3 linked regions of the Arabidopsis thaliana genome follow. The protein of the gene in region 2 interacts with the protein of the main gene of each other region in a pairwise test. Each region holds a gene or a part of one and is shown on either strand. Other genes may lie near its edges.

Region 1 (8,310 bases), about 21 Mb from region 2:
CAGCTCAATCACGTTTCCAAATGTAGCATTGAGGAGACCTCCAACTGTCAAAATTGTCTAGCGCGTCACAAATATATTAGGAGAAAAAAAAAGAGAGTAACGGAAGAAACCAAGTCATACCAGTTGCGCCTGTGTAGCAAGACAATTGCCTGTTACAAAACTAAACGGTTAGTGTTTGATGATATGGTAATTAAAGAGTCACAAGTGTGAGGAACAACTTACTCTGTGGCATATCCGAGACGTTCAGCTAATGGTGTGATACCTACTAAGCTTAGTAAGAAGAACCACCCCTGAGCCACAACAAGAATCGTTTCTTGAGACTAAACAAGAAGAAACAAAACTAATTATGATAAGTACCTGAGACTACAACTGCTCTCACCTTATTATCTGTCAAGTAGTGGACTAGTATTGCTAGAGGACCGAAAGGCAACAAAAGATTTAGTTTATTCGATAAAATGACGATCTTGAAGCTCTGGACCACACTGTTCCTAGGCGCTTTAGCTCTGCGTTCTCGAAGTGATCCTTGCTCCATCAAAGAAGCTGCATTTGTTTGTGGGGAATCTGTTTCTTGTTCCAAAAGGCTTTTAAGCTCAACTTCATTAACAAGCCCCATCTGTTTACGATAATAATTTAGTTCTTAAGCTGATAATGAGGAGCCAAATAACTGAGACAAGACGTGAACGTGGACTAACTTACTTCTACCTTCGCCTGCATAAAAGCTGGCACCTTACACCACCTTATAGACTTGAAGAAGTTGCTGAACATCAAATATAGCTCCATATACATGAGATTTGTGATCTCATTGATCTGTATATCGAGTTCTTAGAAAGTCTAGTCCTTGTTAACCTTAACTATTCCTTAAGAGTGTATGGCATGTGACACATGATTACAAGCACAATAAGCATCCACTCACTCGTTGCTTGGGGGAGAAGTTACAACAGATGGTCTTTGAATTGTTTATGGAACTCCAGTATTGAAGTATTAAAAGGTTTCCATTTCTTTAGTTTCTTTGTTCCTTAAAGGTATGACACTGAAGCACGATTCCATACCTTGAAGCTCAAACTTGTTTTGCAGCTTAAGGTTGCCGAATGTCGACTCAATGCTGCTTTTGTTGATCCACATTTTCAACAAATCCATCTGGAACTCATCTTCTTACGAACTATGATAAATATTTGCAGAAGAAATTCTGCAATCTTATGCCAAATATGGCTCACAATATTGTTTTGAGTAAGACTTAACTATAACTAGTGTCATCTTGTTTTTTACCATTAAATGTATGAATACAACCGTCCATAAACTGTTCAAAGAAAATCCTCTATATATTAGAGGATAAACAAGCATACTTAGAAAAGAAGAGACACTCCAATCTTGAATCTTCCCATCATAGTTATCAAGGTAATTTTACAAATTTGTAACCCTATAAGCCCCTAAGGGAAGGTAAAACCGTAAAATGGAGCTACTTTCAAATGTTATGAAACAAACTCTAGAATCTCAAATGTACATGTAAGATGATGTGTTCCTGAGATCTTCAGGCTTTAGTTTTAGGATACAAACTTTTTATGTTCTTTTGGGTTGATTTATATATCATCTGTCAAAAAATAAGAAGACAAAAACAGGTTTCAACAGAGAGTTGACACAGAGAAAGGAATATATATAGCAAATTCAACACTAACCTTGATGAGGATCTTCGTGTACAAAGAAACTAGCGGCGACTATCAAATAGCAAAGAATGAGCATCAATCCTTTGAAGTAATTCGATGTTCCTTCCTGCATAAAAACACCACACACAAAGACATTTAACAACTTTGAAGAGAGAGATATACTCGAGATTGGTTTCGTAATTAGCTTCAAGATTTACCTGGAGAAAGAAAGCTACAACAATAACAGTTATGAACAGAGTAGCCGTCTCAAATAGCTGGAAATTTAGGTCCATTTGGGCACCCATCATCCATCCGATAACCACGCAAAAAGGAACCTAAATCCAATCAAACTATCAGACAAAATCTTTTAGAGAATGTTCAGTACTAGACCCAAGTTCACATTTCATATACATACCGCGAACATAGAAATCTGAATGGAGGATCCAATAGCCACTCCCAAAGACAGATCCTGTAGAGGAGAATAATAAAGTTAGAACCTAAAGAAGAGAATCAAAGACATCAAAACGCAAGAGACTTGTCTGTGTACCAGCTTGTCTTTCATGGCAAACATGATGGCACCTGCATGCTCGGCCGCATTCCCAACTATAGGAAGTAAGATGACACTGATAAAAGAGATTGGTATCTTCCATGAGACTGAAGCACCCTATTACAGATTGAAAAACAATAATACAAAACCATAAGTCAAACTCATAAACTAGCATTACAATGTTGTCCTGATCATATGGAAATGAATAAACAGGCCAAGTTAATACACGTAAGATCTTTGTTCGAAATACTAAGATAGAAAAAAAAGCAGGTTGCTATTCACCTCTATGGCATCAACAAGATAGCCGGAAAGAAGAGAGACCCAAGCCGTCAAGATTGAAAGCCAGATAATAGCTTCCCACTTGGAGATCTCAGGATCTTCATCATCGTCTGAAGTTTCTTCGTTCTGGTTAGTTTCCTACAAATTAACAATGTTTACCAAACAGCTGAGATCAGTCCAATTAGAAGAGAAAGATAGCAACCACTCGGCTTTATAAAACAGAAATTCGACAGACCCCGTAAAACTGGCACGAATATTCTGTGGTCATGGATATACTGGTGAAAACTCGAAAATGAAAAAAAACAAATGTTGAAACAATTGTTCTATTTATAATTATCTTAGTCTATCGTTTCCAGGCTTTTTGTAAGAAAAAACGAAAGTCAACCGAAGGTCAAAGACAACAAACCTCGGTGAGAGGGGTATAAGAGCTCGGCTGGCTCTTTAACTGGAAAAAGAGGTAAGCAGCATAGGCAACGAGCATTATGCAACTGCTGAATCTTGAGAGAGCAAGCTCTGATGACCCAGCATGAACCTCACTGTGCGTGTAATGAAGAACTGCGGGGAAGAGTAGTCCCATGACAGCCATCAAAAGCAATCCCGAATTCACAACAGCATTACCCTGCATTGCAGAATAAATAAGCTCAGAAACATGGTATAAATTACAGAACAACAGGGACAATTACATTGAAAAAAAGAAGAGAACAAGTGATGATATTCCTACTTTGTCAAAGACTTGCTCTTTCTGGGAAAATACAAGCCCGCCACAAAAGAAGGCGCAGCCAAGTACAAGTAACATGTTAGAAAGTATCGAGCCGAGCAATGTCAGCTGTACAACACGTATCATTCCACTTTTAAGAGCGAAAATCGATATGATCAGCTCTGTCACGTTTCCAAATGTAGCGTTTAGGAGACCTCCAACTGTTAAATTTGTAAACAGCGTCAAAAAGATATCAGGAGAAAACAAAGTAAACCCGCAATAGAATGGCGATCAGAAGAAACCAAGTCATACCAGTTGAACCAGTGTAACAAGCTAATTGCCTGTCACAAAATAAACGGTTACTTATAGATAAGCCTTGCTGATAGAATGATAACATTGTAACTTATAGAGTTACAAGTGCGAGCAACAGCTTACTCGGTGGCATATCCGAGACGTTCAGCTAATGGTGTGATGCCTACTAAGCTCAATAAGAAGATCCATCCCTGAGCCACAAGAAGAATCATTTCTTGGGAAATAACAGGAAGAAATGAAACTGCTATGAATAGTACCCAAAAAGTACAACTGCTCACCTTATTATCTGTCAAGTAATGGAGTAGTATTGCCAGAGGACCAAAAGGCAACAAAAGATTAAGTTTATTCGATAAAATCACAATCTTGAAGCTCTGGAGCACACTGTTATTAGGTGTTTTAGTTGAGCATTCTCGAAAACTTGCAGAAAGTGATCCTTGTTCCATCAAGGAAGCTGCTTTTCTTTCTGGGGAATCAGTATCTCGTCTAAAAAGGCTTTTGTGCTCAACATCATTAACCAACCCCATCTGTTCAAAGTTGTAATCTTTCCATTAAGCTGACAATGAAGAGCCATATAATCAAAGATAATACATGATCGATCATGAACAAACTTACTTCTACCTGGGCCTGAATAAGAGCTGGCACTTTACAACAACCCATAGACTTGTGCTAAGAAAACATGAAAACGAGGATACACTACAATATCGTCTTCTTCTGGAAACCTGGAGATTGGAAATGCTTAGGAGATCAATCATCAGTATCAAAGAGCATTCCGTTATACAGTATATAAACCACAACCAAATGTGAAAACAAGAATCCAGAACAAGCTTGCACGATTCAACTGAAAATGTGTTAATCTAAGCTTAATCTTTCCATGAAATCAGAGCCCAATCAAATGACTTGATATTTGAAAAACACAAACCCAATTCCATCCAATATCAAAACCCTAAAACCAGATATAAACTACCAAGAATCAAATAGAAGACCTAAAGATGATCGGAGGGATCAACGAAACGGTGAAGAGAGATTCGAAAGTTTTAGTACCTAAGAAGAAGTCAACCAATGGTCAGAGAAGAAAGACTTGAACAAGTTGCAGCAGAAATCCCACAAAAATAAACACTTTGATATCTTCTTCTTCTTCTTCGGAGATTTGTGATCCCAATGGTCTGTTCTTTTTTATTGAGAGATGATACTAAAGAATTTGGGAGATGTCAGTAAACAAGTGCGTGATCGAGAGGAACTTTCCTTCTTCTACTCATTTTTAAAGACATGTTTCGATTTTTTATTTTCTTCTTTCAAATAATTTATGAAACTAGTTAATTGAATTTATTTAGACTTAGAAAAGAAAAAAGACTATTGGAACTTTATCTAATTTCCGATTTTTAAAAAATATTTGGACTCAATATTGTTACTTTCTAATGTTATGACTAATGAATATTGAAATATATGTGAACTGTGAATTACTGTGAAGATTTAAATATAGGAGAAAAAAAAGAGCAATTGCGGTCGATAAATTTTATTTTAATATCAGTTTTTAGTTAAAACATAGTGGTCCTAAACATGACGTGTTACCATAGTCCAGAATAAATTAACTATCGACCGCATCAAGTAATCCCAATTTTTTTAAAACTTTTTTGTTAAGGCAATTTTTTTATCATTGATTCGATCCCTTTCGTTTCTGGACTTAAATAAATCGTTTATAATTTCTTAAAATTTTCCTTTCAAAAGACGACCAAAAAAAAAAAAAAATCCTTTCAAAAAATATCATAAACTGATCAATTACTAGACCGAACCAAATCAAAATAATTAGACCAAAACCAAATTTTCTATAAAAACATTTAGGGTGTGTGTAGAAGTCATTTTCAGAGTAATTAAGAATGCTTTAATTTGCGAGTTTTATTAGTGGAAGTATTGCTAAAAATGCACGGATCTACTAGTCTACTACTATCTACAGATATGATTACATAGTCGTCTGGTTGTTCTCTTGTGGACAACTAAATTTGCACCATAACATTTTACAGATTTTACACCGTTGATGATAAATAAGAAGGAAGAAAATGATTACACTAATGCATGCTAAGCCATACAACAAACATTTTTTTTTTGTATTATTATATCAAAACGAACACGGACCAATCTGTTTGATTTGTATTGGTCTGGTCGATAACCCATACAGATTAACCAACAAATCAATACAGAACTGATACAATTATACAGATCAATAATTATTGGATGACCACGTCCCACAGATACAATTCTTTCTCCGGAACTCCTAAAGTAAACGTAACTAAACCGGATTCCGGTTCATACCGGTACTCCACGTCGTCTGAATCCACCGTAACACTTCGTGGTCGTCGAACGGACGAGTAAACACCAACCAAACCACTGCCTCGAAGTTTCATCCTAACGACAAATTTAGTCCCCTCGTCATCGTATCTTAAACTCACAATGGCTCCTCCAGAATTAAACATCTCCATAAGCCCCACCGGTGCAAATTTACTTCCATCGGAAAATTCCTTCACCGGAACCACCGTGAAAACTTCGTATTCACGTGGCATCAATGTCACTGGTAAAGATGTATCTTTTGGGAGATACACTAACTCTCCTGATAGAAAAGGAAAAAAAAAGTGAAGGTTTTAGTATAATCAGAGTAATTTAGACTGATGTTTGAGTTTGTGTACTACCTCTGAGATGGGAATAGACAATGGAATCTCCTGTCCATTCAAAGGCTGCTACTTTATGAAGATAATGAACATCATTGGTTCGGACACAACCAGAAATGGTCCCAGGTTCTTGGTCATGGATTAGGTATCTCTTCTCGTTCTTACACCATCCAGCGCCTTGGCAGTTGAAAACTCCAATAACGCCAGTGAATTCGTTCAGGTTCCATATTTTCAGAAGACTTGCAAAGTATAATACAACAGTTAGTTAAGATTTAAGCTTTCTTCTCTTCCAAGTAAAGGAAAACGAGATACCTTTTATTGTCTCTGACTGGATCACTGAAGAAGCAATCACTGGTTGGTCTTCCGGGAAGCTTTGCTCTGAGTATGGAACCGTCTCGAAGTACTAGCTTTCTTAAAAGGTTGAAGTCATGTTGTCCCGGTTTGTCGCTGTTTAACAAGTTTGAATGGATCTAGAGTTACTTACTTGCAGCTCATTTTACTATGATAATTTGTTTGTCAAATGGTATTGAATCTTGTGATTACCTGACATATATGGCACATCCTCCAACCGCGCGAGCTGCAGCATGATATTCAGCCATCGGATGCAAACTCTGCAATGAGAAACAGATAGATTCATTCACAAGTTCAGAAAAGTTTGTTAAAGCAATTCAACGTACATGAAACATGTCCCAGTCCGGCTGCATAAACTCTCCAAGGAAAAGTGTGTTATATGCAACAGAAGCAATGTGGATCGTGTGTGAAGCGGGGTCTCTAGGCCAGAAATCGTCTGATGCTCTTATAACAGCAGTCTTTTTTGCGCTAAAGTATCATTACAAGAAGAAATTAGAAGGGATAGTAATAATTATGGATAAATATCAATGAGAACAACGTTGTAGGTCCAGAAGCTAACCTGTAGAGACCATCTGTGTTATGACTCATGCAAGAGATAATACCATTGTCAGGGAAGTTTCTTGAAATAGAAGCTTCCAAAGCCTGGTGATACTTCTTTGCAAGTTTGACACGACCACCATGTCCAGCTCCAAGAGTTTCAAGAATGTTTTGGACGTCTACTTTGACACCATCGACCCCAACGGATGCAAGGTATGAGTGAAGATCATTATAGAAGCTAAAGACTTTCTCAGGATTCACCAAACCAAGTCCATTCTTAGTTATGCTTTCTAAACATCCACAATTCTCACTGGACATAACTCCTGGTGAAGAAACTGGATACGCAACCTTGGATTCGTAGTGTTCCATACCAGAAACACCTGGTTTGACTCCTCCCCAATATCCTGTTATCGCATGCCAAACATAAACATACTTGAGCGAATTATTACTCTTAATGTCTGTGATAACATGTCCAAGACTCAATGAAGGGTCATCCACCCGGTGGCCTTCTTTGCCATCCTTTTGAAACTTATGATTCTCCTTGATGTGAGTTAACCGGTTTGCAAAACTGAAGGTAAGCACAAAAGATAAAGAGTGGTTTATTAAGACTAAAGAAAGAACTTAAATCAGAATTAAGAGAGCTTAATTACTTACTTGGCAGCATTATCAGCGTTGAATTCTACACTGGTCTCATCCATGCCAACAGATTGCCATCCATCATCAATTATGACAAACTTTGGGGTAACCCCACCAGCTTTGAGGCTACAGAGAATCAGTGCAGGTTTGGTTAAGTCACAGTTACTAAAGCCATCTTCAAAAGTAAAGACTCAGGAGAACCTCTCAAGTCCTTGCTTGACGTCTTTGGCTGTGACATTGGTATAGAATGCATCCCAAGTGCACCAACCAAACCAATTCAACATATCTGGCATCTGAACACAACCAAAACAGGGGAAATTTTCAGAGTTAATTTTGGTATGTATATAATCAAAGATCACATAAAACGTCTCAATGTTTCCTTACTTTCTTTCTCTCTCGGTGTGAAAATGTTTGAAGATGTTGTTCAACAGCCCTGCATAATCATTGAAAGGCAAAGATTCTTAACCCTAAAAAAATTTGGACATAAAGAAGTCTTAAGTTGAGACTTGAGAAACATTACATACTTGACAGCTTTGGTAATGACATCAAAAGGGTCGGAGCCAGCAGCCACAAAAACCAAATGACTCCCTTCGAATTGGTCAACGGTTGGATCACCTTGACCATACAAAAACCATATAAATCTCAGAGAGA
Region 2 (8,128 bases):
CTTGTTGTTCGCTGCTTTTTGGATTATTCTATTTGTGCCCCTTTCTACTTCTATCACAAATTCATGCTCTCTGCGTCAGAACCAGTTTTTTAAAAAAGTAAATGCAGAAATGGTAACTTAACTGCCCAGTTAAAAGAGTCTAAGAAATCACGTTATTAGGTATTATATGGCTCAAAAATGTGTATTTTGTTTGAAGCACGAGCTTGTTGGTCCAGATATTTTTGTATGTTTCCATATAAAAGCAAGCTATAATTAGTTCAAACAATCACACGTTCTTTGATCATTAATTTTTTTTAATCACAATGAACATTAAGGACTCTTAACATACACGTTTTTGTAAGCAAAATCAAATTTTATCATAATAAAATAAATAAAGGTTTTTTTTATGTATGAAGAAAATGAGAGCAGGCGATTTTGTCGTCCAGTAATGTTGGCAATGGCAGGGGTCACAAGTGGAAAGAAGAAACAAAGATGCGGGACCATTTGTCTTAAATGGGTCCCACGTAAAATGGGTATTCCAACGAATCGGAGCCGCACACTTTCTTAACCTGACTGCAATCAGACGGTGCTAGATGGACCACGTAAAGCTGCCTCCTCCCGTTATCCTATTCCACAAGTAACCAAACGAAATGGCCAATTTGTCCATACATTCTGTAATTCTTTTTTCCTTTCCGAAGTAATGTATTTATCGTTTCACTCGTAAATTTTTGTAAATATATTATTCATATGTTGAATATTATGTAACTTTCATTCTTTAGAAATGATAATCTCTATACGAAATTTTAGCATGAAACTAGATTATAATTTGGTTGACCATAAAAATGAACAATGAAATGGATTAATAGATTTTTCCGAAAACAGGTTAATCTTACGATCATGAAGAGTGATAAGGTTTAACATTATCTTCCACTCCGATCAATCTTACGGAAGAAGAGATGAATTTGGGGATTAGCATTCTCTCAGGTGGTTGTTGATAAAAAAGAGATGAAAGTACTCTAGGGTTACTTGTAGTATATATAAACGCAAGCTCAATATGTTGGTCTGCTTTATACAGGAGCGGGACTTAAAAAAAGGAAACACTGAAAACCGACATACGAAAGAGACGTTGATATTATACCGAACAAAACCAAAAGGAAACATTGGTTGGTTTGCTTTGATTTCTCAAGGAAGAAGAGAGAATGAGTGAGATGTTGTTGGAGATTAGCATTCTCCCTCAGGTTTTCATTATTAGGTTCTTCCAAAATAAAAAGGAAACTTTCGATTGTTTCCTTCTTCAAGAAAAGACATAAACGCAAAAAAGTTTCTTTAAACTCGGGAGTCAAAACAAGTTTAAGTAAAGTCCTAAACCTGACAGACCTTCTAACACTAGCCATTCTCTCATAACCAACCCCAGTTTTGCTATGCATTAGCTTGAAAGCTAAATATGCTTTTCCCACTTTCCTCAATGCATTGATCATCAGATCGAGTCTCTAACTATACCTCCATGTGTGATGCTGAACTGAAGTAGCCAAAGTTAAGCGGCGCATAAGAGCCAGCCATTATTTCAATTTCTGTTAGTTGATAAACAATTTTTTACATTTTATTGGTTCAAAGTTCAAACCATTGTTTTTACACTTTATTCCACACACTATACACATGCAAGAGAGATCTAAGGGTCAGTTGTATGATTGGCGGTGAAGTCAGGCTCGGTGGGTTTTTGAGGTAGCAAAGGAAGAGTGTAGCGAGGAGGAAGGTTGGAGATATTGTGCCTCAGATTGTGAAGCGCGTTTGATGCGAAACGCGACGCGTAAAGAGCGCCTCCAAGGCTCAAGGACGACGACACGGTTGCAGCATTGTGTTCTTTATCTTGACTAGCGAGCGCTTCTCGGAGACGATCTTCTTCATCGCGTAGTGACTTGGCTAACTTCCTCCGACAGTATCTCCTCCACGCTGCTTGTATAAAAGACACGCTCCATGTTCTCCATTGCACTGAGTAAAACCTGTATATATAATCAAGATCCGGTTAAGAAGATCCAAAACCGAAAACAGAGCCAAAGAAGCTGATGGGAGTGACCGAACCGAAAAGTATGTTGGAGTTGCTTGCTATGGAGGCGTCTGAATTGTGAAGCGACAGACTTGAGATCCTCAGCTGTGAGAGCAAAGGCTTCGACTTCAGTGAGAGCTTGAACTGTTCTTGTCGAGATGGGAAAGTGAGAAGAAGATTGAGGATCTAATGCCCACGGGAGAAGATCTTCTCCGCAGAAATCACTTGCCTTTAGGTTCACGGCATTGAAGAACCCACTTCTTCCTCCATTAGTGGTGGCACTTACCAGTCTTCCTCTCATAACAAACAACATTTCCCCAACAGGATCTCCTTCACGGATCACGTAACTGTTCTCGGTGTAGAGCACAGGTCTTAGCCTATCGCAAACCGCGTCAAGTAACTGCTCATCCATTATCTCAAACAAAGGTACCTACCATAAACATCATATAATTTGGATTCTGAGGGTTCTTTAGTTCAGTTTATGGAAGAAAAAGAGAGAAAGCTTGTTACTCACTTTCTTGAGGAGATCGAGGCAAAGATGGCGTTTAATATCTCTTCTGAGGTCTTTAGGGAGGTTACGAAGAAGGGTTTCTTCTTCAACTCCTCTTGTCTCTTGCCATCTATATTGTTCATATCTTCTGATACGTTTCCTCAGGTCTTCAGGTAACATTCTATGAGACATCCACTGCTCTGCATCTCTCTTTCTCACCCTCATTTCCTCTTCTCGAACTGTTGTTGACTCCAAATATTTCTGCAACAGCAAACAAAAATTACATGCGTGTCCTGAGTAACTTATATGTAGCATTATGGAACAAGTCCAGAAAATGAGAAGCGATTATTTGAGGCTAATACCTGCATATTGCCGATAAGTAGAGCAAATAAGACTAGTCCAGATATGCAGATTGATATAGCAAATATGATTTCACCAACGAATTTGCTAGTTTGGAGATTCTGTCCCAATGCACTGCAACAACAAAAGCAACTTGTGAGAATGATGACTTGTTTAAATTGTGACAGATATATATGCTTAAGATGCAAATATAAACAGGTCATTTCACGGCTTAAAATCTCCAAATATAGCTAGTTAGTTATTGTCAACAGTTTTATGTGTGTCTTACAAACCTCAGATTTCGAAGACCCCACCAGAAGCAGTAGAAGAATTTCTTCCAGAAATCATGTGATTCAACAACGCCACTCTTAAGAGCATCAGTGAAGATGCCAAAGTTGAAGATGGTTGAGTTTGTTATATCACCAGGGTCGAGAAATGGGCAAGAAGTGGTCAGGAAATTGTTGCTAACGTTACGATCGTTTTCACAGTAGAGGAATTTCATATTACAACCTTTTGTCTTCTCGCATGCCTCTTGCCAGCATCTGTCTTCTCGTTCTACTGAGATTAAGTACCATAAAGCTCCAAACACCTGAATAAGTAAGTTTAACATATAACCTTTAATATGCATTTACATGTATAAAGATTCAGTCATCAAAAGATCCGAAACTCACATGACTGGCTAACATATAGAGAGAGAGGTTCCAAGCAGCTCCAGCCCATGCTGTTTCAGTAACAATGCCAGATGTTCTTGTCACTTCAGTGTAAAGCGGATACATACGGAGAATCCGAGGAACATATTGAGCAATTATGGAAAATTTAAGGTAGTCTTTTGTTAGCAAAGAGACTGGCTGGTTGACGCTTGGAATAACGGCTAAAACTACTATCTGCAAAAGTTAAGAAGCCAGAGGATTCAAAAAGAAATGATCATTGACATTTTGAACAAGTAATCAAACTAGTCATTTACCTGTGGGAGAGGAAGGATAGAGAGTAGATCAATGATGAAGTAAGAAGAGAGATACTTTAAGGCTATTGCCTTAGCATCATCTACCAGTTCACCTCTTCCAAAAACCCGCGAAGAAGGAGCGATGTAAGCTGTCCTGAACTGAAACACAATGTGAATAATGTAAAAGGCATCGATGAGCGTACGAAGCAAACTCGCAGCTATCTCCAACTTTGAGTCCAAAGTAAGACAGTGCCTTGCGCTATCGACAATGGGAATGTAGAAAAACAATGGATCAATCGCCAAAGCAACCACACAAGCAAATAAAAATATTTTGTTCCAGTTCTGGAGAAACGAATCCTGCGGGTTTATGATGTTCTTCCGAGTAACACTAGATGTTTCCTTGTGGTCAGGATCCTTATGTGAAGGGAAACTCAATGGCTTCTTGAATCCCCATTTTACATTCTTGAAAACTCTATCTAAAGAAGGTCTAGCTTTTCTTCCATAACCATATTCAGAGGATAATGGTTTGCCTTCATCTTTGAACCTAAACAAAATCATAAGAAAATGAGATAGTAGAAAAAATCATTCAACTATGAACTGTTTTCAAGATTTTCTGTAACTACCAACCTTACACGATTATCATGGCTAAATGCCATCAGCCAAACCCTTGTATATTTCAACTGATCTTTCGCTTACAGGGTGACGAGTCCTAACATTATAATAAGAACCAAAACTTAAGACATACGAATTCTTCTACATGATTACGTACAATGATAATCCCCAATACCAATTAAAAATAAGCAAGTAGACACCTAACTACAAATACAATTGTGTTGTGTGTATGTGTTTTTAAATATTTCTTTCTTGAAAAGGTTAATTAGAGAACCTAGAATCAGTCAATTTCCACCTAACATTAGATTATACCAAATCCTGTAATTCCTACCCATTCCTGCTCAATAAATGGAAACCACACGAACAACTTAAAAACACTGTTCATCAAAGATAAGAAATCCAAATTTCAAAAAACCATTGACCATAAACGAAAGACATATATCTAAGCGTTTCGGTTCTGAGAAACAGCAAAATAAATTCAGACGAAAAAGAACAAAAACGGAAATCGGAATCAAAATTCTATCATCAAACTAACCTGAAACGAAGTAGGTAACGGCGAGATAGTAAGATTCGGCTAATAAACGGAAGTCGGTGAACGGCGTTTTCTTCAATTCAAGCAACTGGTCCCGTCGTCGCTGGAAAGAGAGAGAGACTCATATGGCGGTTACTTGTATCTCTCTCTGTATATTGTTTCCTGGAAAAGTAGTATATGAGAATTTTATTATACGACAAAAAGGGAGGGAAAGAGGAATATTATGCAATTAAATATTATAAAGTCTGTTCAATTGAAAATCATTTCATAAAACAATTTCATTCAGATGAATGACTTGGTCAAAGTCAGACGGCGAGAATAAGCAAGTTGCCAAATTTTAAGTACCGGGCCCATTATGAATATTGAGCCCATTTAGATTCATGACCCAAAATGAAGTAACCGCCCCACCATATGTTCCTTATTTCTTTTCTCTTCACACTGATTTATTTTCTGTCGGAAAATACGGACGGCGTCGTCGTTCTTTTTGACGGTGTAGCTCACCGGCGTCGATTTTTAGATTTTTTTTTAAGGTAACATATTCTTCCTTGTGTTTAATCTCCATACTTTTGATCTACTTTTCGTTCTTGTTTAGTCTTTAGTGTTGTTCGAGCTTTTGTCTCCAATTTCAATCAATTCAAAGGGTTTTTAGATTCCAAATTTTGTAGCTTCCGTTGACACATCGAGTTGTCGAACTGTGTTTCGGATTGATCTGTCTGGAGCTTCTATTTCTGCTTCCTTATCTACTGTGAATGAAATTGCCACCGATATAGATAGTTAGCTAGGGTTTATTCGTGAGCTCGCGTAGATGAATTAGGAAGAATTCAGGTGATCATTTTTATGTTGCATTGTCTATTATTGTAACTGAATCTGGAGAAATTTTGATAAAATTGTTGTTTGACTCAGTGCAAACAAATTTACAAGTTTTCAGGAAATTGACTTAATACTAATCTTGAATTTTGCAGGGAAACACTAAGCAGCAAATTACAAGTGGGTGATTTGTGTTTGTTACATAGTCTTATATCTAACTATGTCAGATTCTGGTGAGCCTAAACCTTCTCAGCAAGAAGAACCTCTACCTCAACCTGCTGCCCAAGAAACTCAGTCTCAACAAGGTTACATATACTTCCTTCTATCTCAATTCTAGTTGTCGTCTCATTGAGATTTTTTCTTGTTCTTCGTTGTTAGCTAGAAATTTTCATTTACACTAATCAAATCATTCTTCTGTTTCAGTTTGCACTTTCTTCAAGAAGCCAACGAAAAGTAAAAACATAAGAAAAAGAACCATTGACGCTGATGAAGAAGACGGAGATTCGAAAAGCGAAAGCTCTATTCTACAAAATCTAAAGAAAGTTGCAAAACCCGATAGCAAGTTATACTTTTCTTCTGGACCATCTAAGAGTTCTACTACAACGAGTGGAGCTCCTGAGAGGTCCGTCTTTCACTACGATTCATCCAAGGAAATCCAGGTTCAGAACGACAGTGGAGCAACAGCAACCCTTGAAACTGAGACCGACTTCAATCAAGACGCACGAGCTATCCGTGAGAGAGTTCTTAAAAAAGCAGACGAAGCATTGAAAGGGAATAAGAAAAAGGCTTCTGATGAGAAGCTGTACAAAGGAATTCATGGATATACAGATCACAAAGCTGGGTTTAGAAGAGAACAAACAATCTCGAGCGAGAAAGCTGGAGGCTCACACGGGCCATTAAGAGCTTCTGCTCACATAAGAGTGTCGGCTAGATTCGATTACCAGCCAGACATTTGCAAGGATTACAAAGAAACCGGATACTGTGGATATGGAGATTCGTGTAAGTTCTTGCATGACCGTGGGGATTACAAACCAGGATGGCAGATAGAGAAAGAGTGGGAAGAAGCAGAGAAAGTTAGGAAGAGAAATAAAGCTATGGGAGTTGAGGATGAAGATGATGAGGCTGACAAGGATAGCGACGAAGACGAAAATGCATTGCCCTTTGCTTGCTTCATTTGCAGGGAGCCTTTTGTTGATCCAGTTGTCACCAAATGCAAGCATTACTTCTGTGAGCATTGTGCTTTAAAGGTATGATCATCACAATTACGAGTCTGTTTTTTTTTTAGTTGTGAAGAAATGTGTGAAACTAGCGAGTTTTGTTTAATGTAATGATGCAGCATCACACGAAGAACAAGAAGTGCTTTGTGTGTAACCAACCAACAATGGGGATTTTCAATGCAGCACATGAGATCAAGAAGAGAATGGCTGAAGAACGGAGTAAAGCTGAACAAGGATTGTGAAGTCCTTGTTTCACTGGACAAAAAGGCAAAAACTATATTTGGTTATTTACTTGAGGAAAGCTTTTTGTTTTGTTGTACTCACTGGCCTATATATATTCATTCGGATGACGACGATAGTTGTTTCAAACTGATTAACTTTTAAATTTAAACAAACTGAAAATTGAATCAGAGTTTTGGAGTCAACTTCCTAGTAAATCATCGTCAGAATAATAGTCGTCAAACTCGATATCCTGATTCACATATTTTGATATAGAAATTTGCTTCCCAAATTGAAAACGCGGTCGTTTAATAAACAGGCCAAAAGTAAAGTTCCTTACCAAACTTTTTAATCTAATGGGCCCGTGCGCTAAGATACAGTTAATGGGCAACGCGAATCGGCCCATAAATAAACCACACCACAAGTAGCGGTAACAAGGTAGTTCTATGGGGTAGAAAACGCATCTGAACAGGTAATTATTTGTCCTACAAGGTTCGATCGAATGTTCTCATCTCTTTTTTTCTCTCTGGCTTTCCGATCTTCTAGATTTTCCAAGTCTTGAATGATGAGGAAGGCGAAGGCTGTGGCCTGTGGGTGAGGTCGTGCCAAAGTCTAAGGCTGTAACACGCGTCTGGTGGGACATCAACAGGTGTCCGGTTCCGGCTGACGTTGATGTTCGCAGGGTCGGTCCGTGTATAAAACGGGCTTTGGAGAAATTAGGCTACTCTGGTCCTCTCACCATCACTGCCGTTGGGATACTAACAGACGTCCCTCATGACTTCCTCAGACAAGTCCATTCCTCTGGAATCGCTCTTCATCACGTTCCCACCGGTTTATATCTTCTCATCCTTCATTTTCTAAAATTAGGGTTTTGCTTCTATTTGCCCTTTTTGTTTTTGTTTTTAAGTCTTATAGTTTCCGAAACAGCTCTCTCAGGGATTGGGTG
Region 3 (7,442 bases), 1.7 Mb from region 2:
ATCCGTGAATCTGTTGCCAAACAGGTGGGACTTCGAAATCTCTTAAATTGGTTTTCTTAATTAGACTGCAATGCCTTGTTTTTAAAGTTCTGTTTTTTTCTTCTTTCAAAAATGGTGTTTGTTTGATTCCAGGTTCATGCTGTTGTGTTGCTCTACAACTATTACCACAGAAAAGACAATCCTCATCTTGAATGTTTGTCTTTTGAGTCTTTCCGTAGCTTAGCTACTGTTATGAAGCCTGCTCTGCTCCAGCATTTGAAGGAAGATGGTGGTGTTTCAGGACAAACCGTATTGCTGGAGAAGGTTATTGTGGATGCATGTAGTTTATCCATGAGCTTAGATGCGTCTTCAGATCTTTTTATCTTGAACAAGTGTCCCATAAGGAGAGTTGCAGTTCTGTTGGTTGACTCAGAGAAGAAGAGTTGCTATCTTCAACACAGTTCCATCACACAAGGTGTCTGGTCTCTACTTGAGAAACCCATTGAAAAGGAGAAAGCCGCTAGGGAAAATCAGAAAGAAGAGGGCGTCTTTCAAAAAGTTGCATTTGCTGTTGTTAAGGAGGCCACAGGTTATCTTCAAAGACTGATCATTTGGTAGTAGCATTCTTTCTGTAAGTTATTACTAACTGTTTTGAATCTTTTGCAGGTGTTAATCACAAGGACATTGTGATCTTGGAGAGGCATTTGGTATGCTCCTTGAGTGAAGAGAAGACAGCAGTCCGCTTTTACATAATGAAGTGCACTTCACAAGACAAATTTTCTGGAGAAAATCCTGTCGAAGAAGTGCTTAGTTGGTAAGTTGACTTTGGTATGCTCTAGCTCAAATGACTCCCAAATTTTGGCAAGATGGTTATTCAGCTGTTATCCTTAAACTCACTTTACTTTACATTAGTTGCATGATTGGATCATTCTTTACTTTTTGTAAGTACAAGGAGGTATTGACATGATATTCCTAACCATCTTCTTTTGCTTTTCTCTATGAAAATAGTATGCAGGGTCCTTTATTTGAGAAGAGCTTTTCCGACTGGACTATGAATTCTATAGTGGAATACTTTCATGTTCTTCCATATGCCACTCTCATAGAAGATTGGTTTTCCAGGTTTAATTGCATCCTTTTTTTCTTCCTAAATTGTTATTCCTTAACATTACTTTGAGTTTGTTTGGTATCATTTCTAGTTTAGGGGTAGCAATATAAGTTTATTGTGCTTTTTCAGGCGAGGAGATACCGAATTTGTGATAGAGAAAGAACCAGAAGCTGTATGTGATGATATCGAAAGCAACAAAGTAGATGCAACCAAGGAGTCGGAAGTTTCCGACATTTTTGAAAGACGAGAAAAAGCTGCTTTAAAAAGGAGATATGAAATTAAAGTATGCTCTCATAATGATACTTGTATTGTATGGTTGTGTTAAGGAAAATGGTATTACAAATTAACTTAAGAATTTAAATTGCAGGCCAAAAAAGTTGCCGCTCTACTGAGCCATCCTGGAGCTAGAGGAAAAGCTACGACGAGGTTGCAAAATCGGTACTTAAAAGGAAGTATGAGTGGTGCGAAGGAACCTAATGTTCACTCGGAGACAGTAGTTGCGTTGAAGGCTAAGAATGTAGGTAATGAAATGAGCCCTTGTAAGGATAACTATTCGAATGGAGAGAAAGGTGGTTTCGAGGTGAAATCTGAAATCTACACTAACAATTATATATTCTCAATTCAATCTTCAAGTATCCTTTATCACCCTTTTGTAAATGCAGGTTGCGTCTGACCCAAAGGAACTTAAAGAAAGAGGTCTCCAGAGGAAGAAAGCTGTTCCTGACAGACTTAATAGCATTCATAAGCTTAATTCAACTCCTGCTTCTGCTCATAACTCTAATCCAAATCTTGAGGAGCTACAGACGTCTCTTCTTTCTAAAGCAACATCACTATCCGAAACTGCATTGAAAGTTCTTCTTTGCAAACGAGATAAACTGGTAATAACTGTAGAATTTGATCAAAGATACACAACACAGCAAAAAAACTGATTGGCAATAGCATATATATCCTTATTTTATGATTAAGAGCTGCTCTCTTTTTCTCTGGCTGCAGACTCGTCAACAGAGGAACATAGAAGACGAGATTGCTAAATGTGATAAATGCATCCAGAACATCAAAGGTATGTATATATACATATACTTTTCCTTTCTGCACAGCTTTGTTTTTACATGAATCTTAGTGATCTCGTGGGTGTTATAGGTGATTGGGAGCTGCAATTAGAAACAGTACTCGAGTGCTGTAACGAGACATACCCGAGGCGTAACCTTCAAGAATCTCTTGACAAGTCAGCATGCCAAAGCAACAAGAGGCTGAAGCTCAGTGAAACTCTTCCTTCTACTAAAAGTCTGTGTCAGGTTAGTTTATGGTTACTTTAATCATTTCTTGTTCAAAGAATTAAGATTCATTGCCCCTATTTATTGCAGAGACTCGATGATATCTGTCTCATGAATAACTGGGTACTACCAAACTATCGTGTGGCTCCATCAGATGGTAAAGTTTTGAGATCATTTGCCAAACTCGTAGTTCAGCTCCATTACTCCCTTCAGATTTGCATGTTGATGTTGATGCTTTGTTCAAAAAGGTGGATATGAAGCTGAAGTAAGAATCACGGGGAATCATGTCGCATGTACAATACATGGAGAGGAAAAGTCTGATGCTGAGGAAGCTAGGGAATCTGCGGCAGCTTGCTTGCTAACAAAGTTACAACACGACACAGCAGCCAACTTATCATGATTATGTGAGATTCAAGAACAACTCAGAAACCAAACTAACTTCCAGCATGAGTAGAAAACAACCCTGATTTTGATATGTATGGCCATTTTGGACGAATAGCAAGATTTGTACAAAACTCCATCCTCTGGTTGAGATTTTGAGATATATTACAAGAAGTCAAAGGTATTAACTGATGCAGAAACTAAAGTAGAACCAGAATCATGTTAAAAACCTAATCCTAAGCCTCCTGCATTTAAAACAATCCTAGAAACTCAAAAACCCAACAAAGTGCTAAAGAGGGATGAAAGAAATCCTAGTAAAAAAAAACCCTAATATTGTTAACTAGACCAAAAACCTCAACAATGGCCTGAAAGATTAGACCAATATGAATCTCAACAGACACAAGAAACTTGTCAACAACGAAAATAGGAGCTATACTGTCTCATGGCAAAACAGAGGACTCCATCGCACCTAAAGGCCCAAAGACAGATGTCGTCGCGAGCTTTCAGTTCATTAGAGGGTTATTGGGTTTAAGTGGTCTCTGTTGGGCCCAATGGTTGGCCCAATATTTATTGATTTGGATTCTGATTATCCCGGGGGTGATTTCAGTCATCGTCTCGATCAATCTTCAACTCTCAAATTGAAGTTTCCATGGGAGGCCACGAAGGTTTCAGCAACCAACGCCTCTCCTCCGCCACATGGTTCTCTCATTTCCGTGCTTCAGCTCTCCGATCTAAATCACTGCCCCCTCCGTCCTCGCAGACTGCCGTTCGCTCCACCTCTGGCGACTCTCTGGTTCGTCGCCTCGGCCTTTTCGACCTCATACTGTTGGGCGTCGGCGCTTCCATCGGCGCCGGTGTCTTCGTCGTCACCGGAACCGTCGCTCGCGATGCTGGACCTGGTCAGTTGAATGAATTACTTTTTCTCACCACCTCCTTGATTCGTTCAGAATCGCTTAGTGATTATTGCTGCCGTTGCGTGCCTAGGAGTCACAATCAGCTTCTTGCTAGCTGGAGCATCGTGTGTGTTGAACGCTCTCTGTTATGCTGAACTTTCATCTCGTTTCCCTGCTGTTGTTGGTGGAGCTTACATGTACTCTTACTCAGCTTTCAATGAGATCACAGCTTTTCTTGTTTTCGTTCAACTCATGCTTGACTATCATATTGGCGCCGCTAGTATCTCCCGTAGCTTGGCCAGCTATGCTGTTGCTCTTCTTGAGCTTTTTCCAGCCCTCAAGGGCTCTATTCCTCTCTGGATGGGAAGCGGCAAAGAGCTCTTGGGAGGGCTTCTCTCTTTGAATATTTTGGCTCCCATTTTACTTGCTCTCTTGACCCTTGTTCTATGCCAAGGTGTGCGAGAATCTTCCGCTGTCAACTCCGTTATGACTGCTACTAAGGTAAGCTTCTTTCCTTTTAACCTTCTCTTCTTATCTTTACCAAAAAAAACTCTTCTTCACTATATTGTTTCTTCTGTAGGTCGTGATCGTTCTCGTTGTGATTTGTGCCGGTGCTTTTGAAATTGATGTAGCAAATTGGTCTCCTTTTGCGCCTAATGGTTTTAAAGCAGTTCTCACTGGAGCTACTGTTGTCTTCTTTTCATATGTTGGATTTGATGCAGTTGCTAATTCTGCTGAAGAATCGAAGAACCCTCAGGTCTGCCTATATATATGTTGAATGTACATACTATCTACAAAGTCTCTTATGTCTGTTTAATTCTTGTTCAGCGCGATTTGCCAATCGGAATTATGGGGAGCCTTCTGGTTTGTATCTCGCTGTATATTGGCGTATGTTTGGTGCTCACCGGGATGGTCCCTTTTAGCCTCCTCAGCGAAGATGCTCCTTTAGCTGAAGCCTTTTCATCAAAGGGTATGAAGTTCGTCTCAATCTTAATCAGTATTGGTGCTGTTGCTGGACTCACAACTACTCTGCTTGTTGGTCTTTATGTTCAGGTGATAATATATATATATGTATTTCTTTTGTAATTTCTTTTATTATGTACTTGTATATTATGCAAACCAAGGTAACACTCTTGAGTAATCATATGATATTTCGGATAAACAGTCCAGGTTATATCTGGGACTTGGAAGGGATGGTCTATTGCCTTCAATCTTTTCCAGAATACACCCAACTCTTCATACACCTCTTCATTCTCAAATCTGGTGCGGCATTGTAGCTGGCGTTTTAGCTGGCATATTTAATGTACATAGTCTTTCCCATATTCTGTCTGTTGGTACATTGGTACGTCAAGGTCTTAATTTTAAATATCTCTTTGCTTTTCTTATTGATACTTATACTTTCCAGTTTAACATTATTTTCGGTGTTCCATTTCTTCAGACTGGGTATTCAGTTGTTGCGGCTTGTGTTGTGGCATTGAGACTGAATGATAAAAAAGATAGAGAGTCGTCCAATAGATGGACATCAAGTTGGCAGGAAGGCGTCATTTGCCTTGTTATAATTGCATGCAGTGGTTTTGGTGCTGGCGTATTTTACCGTTTCAGTGCTTCAGTTATATTTATTCTCCTCTCAGTTGGTGTGGCAGTTGTTGCTTCAGCAGTTCTTCATTATCGCCAAGTAAGTAGCCTTAAGTATAAGCCTTAATTCCATAGCACACTCTTCTTAATTTCATAGCGCCAAAAAAAATAAAATAAAAAAACCAAGTTTCACCCCTGTTAAAATGCTAGATACTAAGTCTTTTACTGATACAGCATAAAATAGAGACCACCACTAGCATGTTCTGGCACTTAGAACTCTACAGTGATACTATGAAAGTCTGTGACTATTGAAGTCTTTGCATTCTTGGTTTAGAGGAGAAGTTTGTTAACATCAATTAGGAAATATACCCTCATGGTTGTCTCCACAAATCAGGCAAATGCCTTGCTAGCTATGCTTCATGTTAAACCCCTCAGCTTTTCGCTTCCAGGCTTATGCTCTGCCTCTAGGTTCTGGGTTTAGCTGTCCTGGTGTACCCATTGTGCCATCCGTTTGCATTTTCTTCAACATCTTCTTATTTGCTCAGGTACACGCTAAGAACTAACTTTATACTAATTTCACATACCATATGATCTACCTTTGATTTTTCCGCTACTGTGCAGTTGCATTATGAAGCATGGATAAGATTTGTTGTTGTCAGTGTGCTTGCAACTGCCGTTTATGCCTTGTATGGGCAGTACCACGCAGATCCGAGCATGTTGGATTATCAGAGGGCACCTGAAACTGAAAGCGACGCTTAGTAATGCTACATTATAGTTGTGTTACTTAAAGCCATTTGTAGAGTTGATAGCAAGTTTCTGCGTTTCGTGAGAGACATACTGTATGTCACATACATATTCAGGTCGAGTTTAAGGATTGGATGGGATAAGGCAGTTAAACATTATTGTTGTAAAGAAGTTAATAAAAGTATGCTTGTGCATTTCAACTAAAGCCTTGAATGACTGAAAATGGCTTTTGTGCTACCAAATAATCCCAGAAGCTAGCAATGTTCACATAAACATACTCAATGTTAGAGTTATTCAACGGATCATAGTATAGAATCAGAAACAACAAGCTTACTAATAACAGACATCCAAACCCTCTAGCATTGTAGTAAGACCAAAACCCTCTAGAATTGCCCCAACTTAGCCGGCTGTACAAATGAAGATCAATCTCCACAGAGACAAGAAGCTTAGCAGAGACGGCGAGCATTGGAAGAGCTACTCTGTCTCAATGTAAGAGGAGGAACAAGAGCAAAACAGAGGATTCCACGCCACCTGAAAGACCAAAGACTGATGTCTTTCTGATTTACCCCTCTCGGTGACACCACACGCCTCTTGGGGCTCGTGGTCTCCCGTTAGACACAAAGATGGAGTCTTCTTGGACTCGGCAATGTAGTTTTGAAGAAGGTTAAAGAAAAAGGCGATGAAGAAGAAGTGGAAGCCCCATTAAGATTTTGTTGTGAATGAAAACTGAAAAGAGTGACTTTGTTGTTTTATATAGTTCGTTAATCCGTTCTGATTTACTTCGTTTTCCTCTTATAATAACTCTAAAGGTATAATCTTTTCTTTTTCTTTTCTTGAAAGCATTATTTAGAGAGTGTATTGTATTAAGCATGAAACAGAGACTGTGCTAAGCCTCCTGCATTTTAAACAATCCTAGAAACTCAAAAACCCGACAAAGTGTTAAAAGAGAGATGAAAGAAATCCTAGTAAAAAATAAAAACCCTAATTTTGTTAACTAGACCAAAAACCTCAAGAATGGCCTGAAAGATTAGACCAATGTGAATCTCAACAGACACAAGAAACTTGTCAATGACGAAAATAGGAGCTATACTGCCTCATGGCAAAACAGAGGACTCCATCGCACCTAAACGCCCAAAGACAGATGTCGTCGCCAGCTTTCAATTTATTAGCCTTAACAACGTCGTTCCAGCCACAACTCAGAAAGTAATTCTGGCCCCATCTCTTCAAAATCACACTCCACTTTTGAGACCTTTGATCCACGAGAATGGCTCCAACTCCCATCGTCTCATCATTGTAGGTATCTTCTTCTAGGATACTCCGCTCCTCAGGCTTCAAGAAGTCGTTACTGATTAATCTGTTGAAATGCATTGAGAAACGGCCATGTGTCGTTGTGATCACATCAGTTGTGGACAGAGTCTTCTCTAAGATAAGTGTTAGGTCTTCTGCTCTCATGTCTTTCATCACCTGGCGAAGCCACCACCGCATCTCCCT

Evidence for each region. The genes of interacting proteins can lie anywhere in the genome.
Region 1: the proteins of CNGC10 (region 2) and CAX5 interact in a protein complementation assay, tested with the Arabidopsis thaliana proteins (one large-scale study listed by BioGRID).
Region 3: the proteins of CNGC10 (region 2) and CAT9 interact in a protein complementation assay, tested with the Arabidopsis thaliana proteins (one large-scale study listed by BioGRID).

Annotation. Positions count from the first base shown.
Region 1 is NC_003070.9:20,829,810-20,838,119, forward strand, and holds CAX5 (cation exchanger 5), read right to left. Parts: upstream 4,820-8,310; 5' UTR 4,517-4,819; intron 4,211-4,516; exon of another isoform or gene 4,195-4,210; 5' UTR 4,133-4,194; coding exon 4,088-4,132; intron 4,000-4,087; coding exon 3,754-3,999; intron 3,667-3,753; coding exon 3,599-3,666; intron 3,505-3,598; coding exon 3,476-3,504; intron 3,385-3,475; coding exon 3,188-3,384; intron 3,086-3,187; coding exon 2,873-3,085; intron 2,605-2,872; coding exon 2,470-2,604; intron 2,305-2,469; coding exon 2,188-2,304; intron 2,110-2,187; coding exon 2,056-2,109; intron 1,976-2,055; coding exon 1,859-1,975; intron 1,768-1,858; coding exon 1,674-1,767; intron 1,589-1,673; coding exon 1,578-1,588; 3' UTR 1,222-1,577; downstream 1-1,221. Other genes in the region: CAX6 (vacuolar cation/proton exchanger), read right to left, coding at 1-44, 121-149, 223-290, 380-613, 697-786; SIP1 (seed imbibition 1), read right to left, coding at 5,698-6,077, 6,157-6,374, 6,448-6,582, 6,679-6,746, 6,813-6,954, 7,046-7,591, 7,678-7,785, 7,861-7,952 and 2 more. UniProt on the Arabidopsis thaliana protein: Vacuolar cation/proton exchanger (CAX). Translocates Ca(2+) and other metal ions into vacuoles using the proton gradient formed by H(+)-ATPase and H(+)-pyrophosphatase.
Region 2 is NC_003070.9:130,766-138,893, forward strand, and holds CNGC10 (cyclic nucleotide gated channel 10), read right to left. Parts: upstream 5,160-8,128; 5' UTR 4,943-5,159; intron 4,558-4,942; exon of another isoform or gene 4,505-4,557; 5' UTR 4,452-4,504; coding exon 4,423-4,451; exon of another isoform or gene 4,354-4,422; coding exon of another isoform or gene 4,340-4,353; coding exon 3,817-4,339; intron 3,737-3,816; coding exon 3,524-3,736; intron 3,442-3,523; coding exon 3,146-3,441; intron 2,988-3,145; coding exon 2,876-2,987; intron 2,775-2,875; coding exon 2,538-2,774; intron 2,454-2,537; coding exon 2,059-2,453; intron 1,980-2,058; coding exon 1,649-1,979; 3' UTR 1,505-1,648; downstream 1-1,504. Other genes in the region: AT1G01335 (auxin-responsive endogenous peptide protein), read left to right, coding at 1-93; AT1G01350 (Zinc finger (CCCH-type/C3HC4-type RING finger) family protein), read left to right, coding at 5,967-6,051, 6,170-6,993, 7,083-7,205; AT1G01355 (Putative endonuclease or glycosyl hydrolase), read left to right, coding at 7,748-7,776, 7,832-8,013, 8,098-8,128. UniProt on the Arabidopsis thaliana protein: Probable cyclic nucleotide-gated ion channel.
Region 3 is NC_003070.9:1,799,889-1,807,330, reverse strand, and holds CAT9 (cationic amino acid transporter 9), read left to right. Parts: upstream 1-3,330; 5' UTR 3,331-3,388; coding exon 3,389-3,638; exon of another isoform or gene 3,639-3,723; coding exon 3,724-4,133; intron 4,134-4,212; coding exon 4,213-4,389; intron 4,390-4,460; coding exon 4,461-4,685; intron 4,686-4,797; coding exon 4,798-4,974; intron 4,975-5,070; coding exon 5,071-5,307; coding exon of another isoform or gene 5,308-5,334; exon of another isoform or gene 5,335-5,656; coding exon 5,657-5,752; coding exon of another isoform or gene 5,753-5,770; exon of another isoform or gene 5,771-5,828; coding exon 5,829-5,966; 3' UTR 5,967-6,221; downstream 6,222-7,442. Other genes in the region: AT1G05950 (uncharacterized protein), read left to right, coding at 1-24, 133-568, 646-793, 988-1,098, 1,214-1,367, 1,452-1,664, 1,747-1,962, 2,078-2,144 and 3 more; AT1G05930 (B3 domain protein (DUF313)), read right to left, coding at 6,398-6,482, 7,042-7,442. UniProt on the Arabidopsis thaliana protein: Permease involved in the transport of the cationic amino acids.